Arabidopsis thaliana: one gene and its partner. The protein of the gene in region 1 interacts with the protein of each later gene in a biochemical or structural test. Each region holds a gene or a part of one and is shown on either strand. Other genes may lie near its edges. The genes, in order: RIP3 and ROP2.

What was found.
Region 2: the proteins of RIP3 (region 1) and ROP2 form a complex in vitro, tested with the Arabidopsis thaliana proteins (one study listed by BioGRID).

Annotation. Positions count from the first base shown.
Region 1 is NC_003074.8:19,779,362-19,784,599, forward strand, and holds RIP3 (ROP interactive partner 4), read right to left. Parts: upstream 3,341-5,238; 5' UTR 3,177-3,340; intron 2,870-3,176; exon of another isoform or gene 2,264-2,869; 5' UTR 2,195-2,263; coding exon 2,175-2,194; exon of another isoform or gene 2,137-2,174; coding exon of another isoform or gene 2,084-2,136; coding exon 829-2,083; 3' UTR 721-828; downstream 1-720. Other genes in the region: AT3G53360 (Tetratricopeptide repeat (TPR)-like superfamily protein), read left to right, coding at 5,141-5,238. UniProt on the Arabidopsis thaliana protein: ROP effector binding specifically activated ROPs and linking them to the microtubule cytoskeleton. Involved in ROP-regulated polar growth.
Region 2 is NC_003070.9:6,965,044-6,969,682, forward strand, and holds ROP2 (RHO-related protein from plants 2), read left to right. Parts: upstream 1-1,798; 5' UTR 1,799-2,179; coding exon 2,180-2,275; intron 2,276-2,573; coding exon 2,574-2,661; intron 2,662-2,746; coding exon 2,747-2,856; intron 2,857-2,937; coding exon 2,938-3,001; intron 3,002-3,149; coding exon 3,150-3,214; intron 3,215-3,296; coding exon 3,297-3,362; intron 3,363-3,461; coding exon 3,462-3,560; 3' UTR 3,561-3,966; downstream 3,967-4,639. Other genes in the region: AT1G20100 (DNA ligase-like protein), read right to left, coding at 4,271-4,639. UniProt on the Arabidopsis thaliana protein: Inactive GDP-bound Rho GTPases reside in the cytosol, are found in a complex with Rho GDP-dissociation inhibitors (Rho GDIs), and are released from the GDI protein in order to translocate to membranes upon activation.

The DNA of each region.
Region 1 (5,238 bases):
ATATTGCATATCATTTTCATATATTTAAATAAAACACAAGGCTTATCTTGTATATCAATATTATAATTTTTCTTTTTTGATCAATTCGATAATTTTTAATTTATAAATACCCAAAATAATTTTAGATTATAATTCATAAACTAAATGTTTAGTTTAAAACTAAAATATCATAATCACAATATTTATGATATTTTTTATTGAATGTATTATAAAATAATTAATATTATATTAATATATATTAGTTATAGACATATATTTCACTACATTCATTTCACCCACGCATCGCGTGGGACATTTTCTAGTAGTTAATTAATTATTGTCACTGATATCTAAAAACTAGGTAGAATGGGTTAGTCTCTGCCAAAAAAAAAAAAGTCAAATGTTTTCATGAAGTGGATTTGGTTGTCATTACCAAAGACAATCTAGTGGGCCGTCTCAGCGTTTAGTGCGCAACAAAAAGGAAAATAGACAGAAGAAAATGTCAAAAGGAAGATCCAAGACTTGAGAGGTATTCATGTGGCTTCTTAATTAGAGTTTCACATTCTATTACAAACTTTTACTTTACACTCTTGACTCTTCTATACATGTAAAGTGTAAACCAATGTACAGGACCAAACTAAATTTGCTACTAGCAGCTCACACTCAGACAAGTAAGGTATAATTTTTCAAGTATTGAATTCAAACAACATTTCACAATACAAATTTCATCAACAAATGTGGCAACGTTTCAACAAAAAAATTAAACTTAGACAAATCGAAATTTTATAAATTTACATACAACAATAATGCCATTTTTATTAAATCAAGTAAAAAGAATCAGTATTATTATTACTTATGGTTTTTCTTGAGTAACACACCAAACTTCTTCAACATTTTGCTAGTCTCAATAGAATCTGTTCTTTCCTCATCATTGTTCAGTATAGAAGCTGCCGTCTCAGCAGCTTTCCTCCATTGCTCACATTGAATCTTCACTCTTTTAAGCTCAGCTTCCATGGCTTCCGTGTTTGCGGTTTCCACTTTCTTCTCCATTGCACTCCTTAGAATCTGCAACTCCATCTCTTTATCCATTAAACTCCCTCTCACTTCCATCAAATCCGATTCTAGCTTCTTCAAATCGCCCGTAGATTCGTCTTCTTTCACCTTCTCCATTAACTCTTTGCGCAAACCTTCGATTTCATCTTTGGTTCTGTTCAATTCTTCCGTTAACTCTGCTTCTCTCTGTGAATATCTTGATTTAACCGCCTCTGTTTGTTCGTATGCGCTTCTTATCTGCAATGTGCTCTGTATATACTCTTCTTGATACCTTGTCTCTGCTGCTTCAACTGCAGATTTCAATTGTGTTATCTCTTGCCTTGAAAGATTCATTGCTTCTTTCAGCTCTTCCACTTCCATTGATGATGAAGAGTCTCTACTGTTTACTCTTTCTTCCTCGAGCTGTCTGACGAGTTTCTCTAAAGACCTTACCTCATACTTAGACTGCTCTAACTCAGACTCGGACTCAAAGAGCTTCGATTTCAGTTTCTGAACTTCGTTAATGGCAGAAGACAGAGCGGTAGAATCCATTCCGTGTTGTCTCTGCATAGCTTCAAGTTCAGACTGCCATGTCTTGTCTCGCTCCTGCGAGAGTTTACGCAGCTCCTCAATTCTTGAATCTTCCGAGGCATTGATATCCATTAACTGATGCTTGGCATCTTCAGCTTCTTCTTGAGCTTCTCTTTTCAATGCTTCTGATCTGTTTAGCTCTTCTTTTGCCTTCTTAAGCTCTTCTTGAAGCTGAGATATCGTAGATTCCAGTTCCGGTATCCTTCCCGTCCGCTTCTTCTGAATCTTGAAAAGAACATAATCAAGAATCACCATATATAAAACTTGCATACACCAAACCAAACCAACAATTTTTAACTGCAAAAGTACCTCATTGAGAGGGATTCTTGCAGAGCGACGATCAGCTACTACTTTCGGGATTTGAGTTTTCGATATTGTCTTGGTTTTTGGATCGGATTCTGCTCCGCTTGGTTTGAGTCTCCTAACAACTTTGGGAGCTGGTAAAGGAGACTTCTTTTGTGGCAGCTCCAATGATCCTGGCCTATCACACACAATCACAATCACTTTGAAACAGATCAATAACTCCAACAACATTCACAACAAGAACACAAAGTTAGAGTTGTGATCATCACCTTGATTTTGGAGTCTGCATTTTTGGAGTTTAAAAACCTTTTCTTTTGGGGATATAATCAATTGCGTTATGATTGCTTCTTTGAAGAATCTGACAAATAGTACATGAAGACCAATGGAAAGTGTGAGAAAGAAGCAACAGAGGGAAAAAAAAAACTTATCATAAGCATATAGACAACCAAACTCAGGGAAGAAAGAAAGCTTAAGCAAGTGTACGAAAAAAACATAAGAATAATATTTACACATTTAGCTTCAAAGAGACTCCTATTACCACCAAACGAAAGCAAAGAGACAACAAATGAATATTGTAATGATTTGGAACAATTCCAAATATATAAAATATTTAGAAGTGTAATTAGAAAAGAAGTTGCCGTCAATGTGATTCATCAAATCACCAAAGATAAACCCTATTACAAGCAAAGAAAGCACCAATATCTTACACATAATCTTTCTGGTTGTTAAGTCACCCAGTTATTTTATTTTATTTTTTACTAAATCAAAGTTTTGGAATTATTGGGAAGAAGAGACAATTTCTTGTCATTTTGTAATGTGAGATTTGGTTTCATTGGGTGGATCTTCCCAAAAAAGAAACACAGATCCAAAAACAGAACACCCAGCAAAAAAATCGTTTTTACATAAAGCCTAAAACTAGAGAATCTTTTAACATTCTCTGCAAAAAGGTGTTTTATTACAGAAACACTTTTGCTTTTTGCAGGAAAACAAAGATTAAAGTTTTTTTTGACTGAATCTTTAAGCTACCAAACCAAAATAAAAGTTAGCTGATTTGAGTAGATGTAAGCAAATTTATACCTTAAACCAACCAAAGATTAACACTTTCTTCAGCAAATTAGTAGAAAAAACAAACTAGTAGTAAATATCTACCTAACAAGATTGATAAACTTCTGAGAAAAAAAAGGAAAAAATCGCACTAAAATTAGGAATAAATCAATGTGAAAGGAAGAGAAGTTTCTGAGTGTTTGAAAAAGTCGTGAAGAAGTATTCACCTATACCGTCGATTCAGCTTCTTTTTTTGTTGGATTAAAATGGAGAACTGCAGAATCAAGGCACCAGCACTTAGATGATTTGATCTTTCCTCTTTCTCGTCGGATTGTTATTCTTTTTTTCTCACTGGACTCGCGAGTCGTTTTTTCCCACTGAAGAAACATTTATTTTCAACTAAACTGCAATATTTATCAAAAGTAACCCCTGAAGTAATGATTGTGCTGTTTCCACCTCAATTTTCAGTACTTAGTTATTTTTATAATCCTTTTACGTTGGATTCCTTTTGGTTATTCCGAAAAATTAAAATTAAAATTTTGGATAATCAAAAAAACTTGTGGGGTTGGTAATGAAATAGATCAATAAATATCAGGGGCTATTTTGAAATTAATTGATAGAATGGACCGAAAGTAGAAGAACGTGGAGGGGGCGTTTTTTTAACTACGCGCCTTGTAGACGCGCCCGAGTCACGTGCTATTGTTTGGCCTCATATTGCTACTTATGAACAACGAACGGTCACGCAACCATAAGTCACTCACACACAAAGGACACTAACCTAGCATATCTATATACTTTATAAATGGAAAATTTTCATAAAATTGTCACAATTTTTCACAAAAACACATTAACCTTCCGTGTTCAATCTACATACATTTGAAAGTGCTATATATTGAAGCATGTAACGTTTCACTTTCACACCACCTCATAGAAAACCGATGCATGATAAATACGACATACACATCTCCTAAAAGAAACAATGCAAAATCAATCATCACTATCTTCATTTATCATACACGCTTGCTAATTTACTTAACATATTATTTCCACACAACTTTAACTATATATTTGGGCGGAAAACAAAAATTGGGAGAAAATATCGTTGAAATTTATGCTAACGATCGATTAGCTTGATTACATTAATGGTTTGTAAAAACATTATATTCACTAGTACTAGATTATTAGAGTATTAACTAGTGACTTCTGAACTACTAATCAAATTTTTCTTTTGACGAATAAAAAGAAAGTATTTCAACAATAAATTCACTACACTGTCTGGCTAGTAATTAAATAATTAAACACCACCATGCGATGATGATTATGCAAAAATGTTAGAAATTATTATAAACCATTGATCATAAAACATTTTGAAATTAGCTAGTGTTGTTTCTTTTTTTAATTTTCAGTGACCGAGAGTGAGTGATCGACTGATGATGGGTTGGTTATGTACAAAAAGTCAAAAACTAATTTCATCCGCCTCCCAATTTCCGGTTTTATCCGGTTCTGGCGGACAACGATTTCATTTTTCGATCAAATTTTCGGTTCGATCTAATTCGCGTCGGTTGAACCATACTTGAAACCGTAACTCGTATCCATATGTATCGTTCAAAACTCGACGTAAATTTCACCACACCACTAAAAAGTCTAAAACCATAACGCGGTTCTTTCTTCGTCCTTGTCCCTCAATTTGAATCATTGAAATTGGAGCCAGATTCCACCATTCTCATTTACTCAGACATTGTCGGAAAAATAATCAAAATCTTACGTCAAAGGTTTCTGTTTTTCTTTGTTTTACATTGTGCACACCACCTGCTCGATAAAATGTCTGTGAAACTAACCACTTTGTTGCTAAAGCATTTATGCTGTGAAATTAACTGGCTTGATCCTGAGTTTTAATATAATTTGAATGATGTATATATATACAAGGTATTTGATTACTTTTTTTTGTCTCCCCTTGAAACAGGCCCGTCCTGATATCCAACTTGTTCATCTACATATGAGTTTGCACAAGAATATTCAGTTGTATCTGTTTTGAAGAAGTTTGATATAATGGATTATATTGCCTTCATTCTCGACGAAGATAAAGAATTCTTTGTTTGGTTAGTTGGATGCTTCGTTTAGTGACATGTCTTTCTCGCTGAACCTTCTTTTGCTAGGAAGAACTCGTTTGGATTAAAAAAGGTTAACTGAAATGGCGACAATGTTACGGTTGGGAGCTAGAGTTTCCGTCAGCAACAGTCAGATACTGGCAACATCAAGTGTTGTATCAACCATCAAGACCGAAGAATT
Region 2 (4,639 bases), on another chromosome or scaffold:
GTTACACAGTATAATGGGCCACGTATAAGCCTTATAGTTCATATGGATTTTATTGTTTGGACCTTTTGGTTTATTTCTTGTGACATTTTCTGATAGTTTTTTTTGTCGTTTCTGAATTATTTTGCAGCTTATTGGATTATGGCAATAGTGATTATGGATTGTCTTTTTCATCTATTTCTTAGAGAATTCTGGTCAGTAATTGAATTATTCTATCAAAAAGGAAAAAAGATTTTTGAACAGAAAAGAAGTGAAGTTAGTTAATAAAGAGAGATTGGTCACTGGTTGGTGAATACTGAATAGTTGGTAAGCTACTAAGCTTAACTTCTTTGATATCATGATTTGGTTAATTCATACTTTTCGTGTACAATTTAGTGGTTTGTGCTACTATCATTGAATGTGATTATTTAAATCCAAATCCACATGATAAATGTTTATTAAAAAAATTATGAGTGGTTAAATTAACACATAATTTTGTACGATTTATCACGGTCATTTGATAAATATTTGTGGATAACTTTATTACATTTCTAATTTTCATTATTAAACTCAGTAAGCATATAATCAATATAAGCAATTTCTTTTTTGGTCAGCAATATATATATATATATATAGTCTTATGGAATGAAAAAGTTGAAAATAACACATGATGGCAATTAGCTACTAATTCATCAAGTTTGACAAATAATTATAAGAAGCTACCGTCTGGTGTGATTATGATTAGGTGATGGGACAATCAGTGACGTGGTGGATCGTTAGTGGATTGATTTAGTTAGAGTTGGGCACGTCCCATTGGACTCTAGTCGCCTATGTTTCGTAATCCGAGGGGAATCGAAAAGAGAAAATAAGTAAAAACATCATAAATAAGACATTTATGAATCGTGCCGGCACGTTCTTGATGAGTGAGAGTTGCCAAATCCAATGATTAAAGATTTCATTCATGCCTCTTCGTATTTTGCTTAAGTCTCTCTCGTATGCCATTTTTTTTTTTTTTTTGCTATACTATAAAGTCTATCTTAGATCATTTGAATTTACCTCCCTTGATACATTACATACGAGAGAACTGGCAGTTGTAGAAGATGTTGTGAATGGGAGTCTTATAACTGGATATGCGGATTCAAATTCGCTAGCTAAAGAAAGTTTTTATTTGAAGAAAATCTATAGTTTTGAGACGGTATAATATTTTACCAATTACTATTTGTAAAATAATCGATACATGGTTAAACTAAGTAAGATAACAACTTTTAGTTGTTGTTTTGGTGAAATGATAAACTTCTATGGAATTCTTATCTTGTTTTGGTAGGTACCAAGAGGATTAGACAGATAAGCGACTTCGTTTACTGCTAATATTGATAATCAAAACTTCGTTAGCTATGTTTTAATAAAGTTGTGAACAAAAAGAATGTTATGGAAAACTGCTCAAAACTGGATAAGTCTCATGCCAGTAAGAATCAAAGTGGCAGTGCAAGTCCAAAGACACAACACACTAGGATTTTGAAACTTGCATTGTTCAGACAATATATGATAGTTCAAAATATTACCTTACTAAGATTTCTCTAGGCTTCATGTCAATGATTTAGTCCAAATTTAAGAGACAATTTTAACTCAAAACAACAATGAAAATATGTATCACAATAAAAAAGTGTTAAACGAAATATATTATTAAAAACATTTAAAAACTGTTGAGAAACCAAAGAGATAATACAAAAACATTCATGACAATTGTATTTTTCTTGTTGTTTAAAAAAAACTGACAGATCTTCTCCATTTCAAAATTCAAAATCCGTGACATAAAAGAAAAGAGACTTTCAAAATTTTGAAAAAAGAAAAATAGAGGTGAAAATAAAAAGTATAATATAAATAAAAGGGGAGTGAGTGTATATGATAAGGAGGTGTTTGGTGCTGTTCTCTTAGCTGTCTCAGAGTTGTTGTTTTTCTACTAGTCCCCTCCTCCTATAGGCTCCTCTCAAAGTCATCTATCAACCGCCAAATCAACCTTCTTCTTCTTCTTTTCCTTCTCTCTTCGATTCTTTTTCGAATTTGGGTGATTCTCAGATTCACAAGCTTTTAGAGCTCGAATTTGATTGGCGAGCTAGAAATGTCGAGGTTTTGAGGAAGAAGCAACCACAAAAGAGGATTGATTTTAAGGGCTTTTTTGTTTGTTTCCGATCTTGCGGCAGAGATGGCGTCAAGGTTTATAAAGTGTGTGACCGTCGGAGATGGTGCCGTCGGAAAAACTTGCATGCTCATTTCTTACACTAGCAATACTTTTCCTACTGTAAATCTTTCCTCTCCTATTTCAATATCTCTTCGGTTTCTTATTTTTTTGTTGAGCTCGTTGCAAGAGTAGATTAGTGATCTGCAAGGTTTTTGCAAATTGGATTCAGGTGTAGATTTTAGGTCATGGAGCTGTATACTAGAAATTGATCAATTTCGTTACAACTTTTTTTGTTTTAAGACTTTGAGAATCTAGGCCAAAGTATTGATCTTGAAGCTACTGTGTTTTGTTTTTGCTTTTTATAAAGGATGATTTTGATTATAAGGTGTAAATCTGTGACTTGTGATTGGTGTTTCAGGATTATGTGCCAACTGTTTTCGACAACTTCAGTGCTAATGTGGTTGTTGATGGCAACACTGTCAATCTTGGATTGTGGGATACTGCTGGTAATTCTTTCGTTTCACCGTTTGGGATTTTCCTTTTGTTTCGGTTGTTTTTGACTTAGTTTGTGTTTGTGGGGTTTGTTAACAGGTCAAGAGGACTACAACAGGTTACGACCTTTGAGTTACCGTGGTGCTGATGTTTTCATTCTTGCTTTCTCTCTTATTAGCAAGGCTAGCTATGAGAATATAGCCAAGAAGGTTTGTCTCTCTTTTGCTGATAAATCCTATACAGTTTGTGTTGATGAGTGATCTTATTTGATTTCGTTCCTCCTCTCTCAGTGGATTCCTGAGCTCAGGCATTATGCTCCTGGTGTTCCCATTATCCTTGTTGGGACAAAACTCGGTAATCACACACTTTCCCTATTGAACTGATCATGCTATTTTTTTGACTGAAAGATCTGTGGTTACGTTCCTACAAGCCTTGTGACACCAACGAAGTTGTTAAGTTTTCTTGCAAAATTTGATTGTTAAGTCACTGGTATTTGCTGCAGATCTTCGAGATGACAAGCAATTCTTTATAGATCATCCTGGTGCTGTGCCAATTACTACAAACCAGGTACATATCCTTTTAAACGAATAGTCTTGCAATGATTGCCAGTTCTTAATAGAATTGTCTGATGTTGTTTTGAATGATGCAGGGAGAGGAACTGAAGAAACTGATTGGATCTGCTGTCTACATTGAATGTAGTTCAAAGACACAGCAGGTATACATAACAAATCGCTTGTCCTGTTCCTCACTGTTTGCAATATTTGATCTTATCAAGAGGGTGAGCTTTATTTCTTTCCTTTTGGTGTTTCTGCAGAACGTGAAGGCAGTGTTTGATGCAGCTATAAAAGTGGTGCTTCAGCCACCAAAGCAGAAGAAGAAGAAAAAGAATAAGAACCGTTGCGCGTTCTTGTGATAAGAAAAACCTCTAAGACTAGGTAAAACCAACTAAAGAAAGAAGCAGAAGATGATTTCAACTATTTGATTCGGCCCATTTTAATATGATAATTTCGACGTGAAGGGAGACATTTCTAGTAGCTTTTTTGTATAGTTGCTAAAACGAGCTTTGTTGTTGTTGTGTCTTTTACTCTTTGCTGGTGAATCTTTCGAGTCCACAGACTAAGAGACCGTGTGTTGTACTCTTGCTATGTAGACTAATCTCTGTCTCTCTTCTCTTTTGTTCTTGAGGATCATTTTGTATTAACAAATGAATCTAATTAATATTTGCAACGTTTATTTTGTTTTTAAGAGCTCTTGTTTTCTGCTTCTTTCCCACAAGATGTATATTCATGTGATCTTACCAAGCATCATGCTTAAAGAGATCTTTCTCCAGCTGCCTAAGCAAGAAGTTAAACTGGGGAACGGCTAAACCAGTCAACTTCTTGCAAGAAATTGCTTATTTAAAAGTAGCCAGCTTTTGCAATCGCATTGATCAATTCAACCAAAAACTTCCAGTTGACAAAAATCATGTAGACGATAGTTTAGTAAGTGGAAACCATGATTTTTGATTAGTGTCAAAAATACAGAGATCGTTCAAGTATCATAGATCACTGTGATTGTTACAATGATAACTGTACAAAGCTAAGGCCTAAGGCTAAGCTGAGAAAGAACAAAACAATATGGGACCTAAAACGGGACAGTATATGGTAATGAAAAAATTCCAACTTCAGACAATAACATAGCTCTAGGCAAAGAGGAACAATCTCTTGACGTCTGCAAGCTCATGATCGTGTCTTCATCAGTCTTATAAGAAGACTTGGCAGAAGAAACATTTTCTTTCCGACTTGTTCCAAAAAGCCAGTCATCGCTGCTGCTATCATCTTCCTCCAAGGAAATACAGGGAGGAACTAATTCATCAAACAATGAATTGTACCGGGATTCTTTGCTAGGCTTATGTTTCTTTCTCTTCTTTGATTCGGAAATAATTGCTACCTTGCCACTCTCAAGAGAAGTTGAGGGTACAGCCACATCATGATCACAGATACTTGGAAGAGA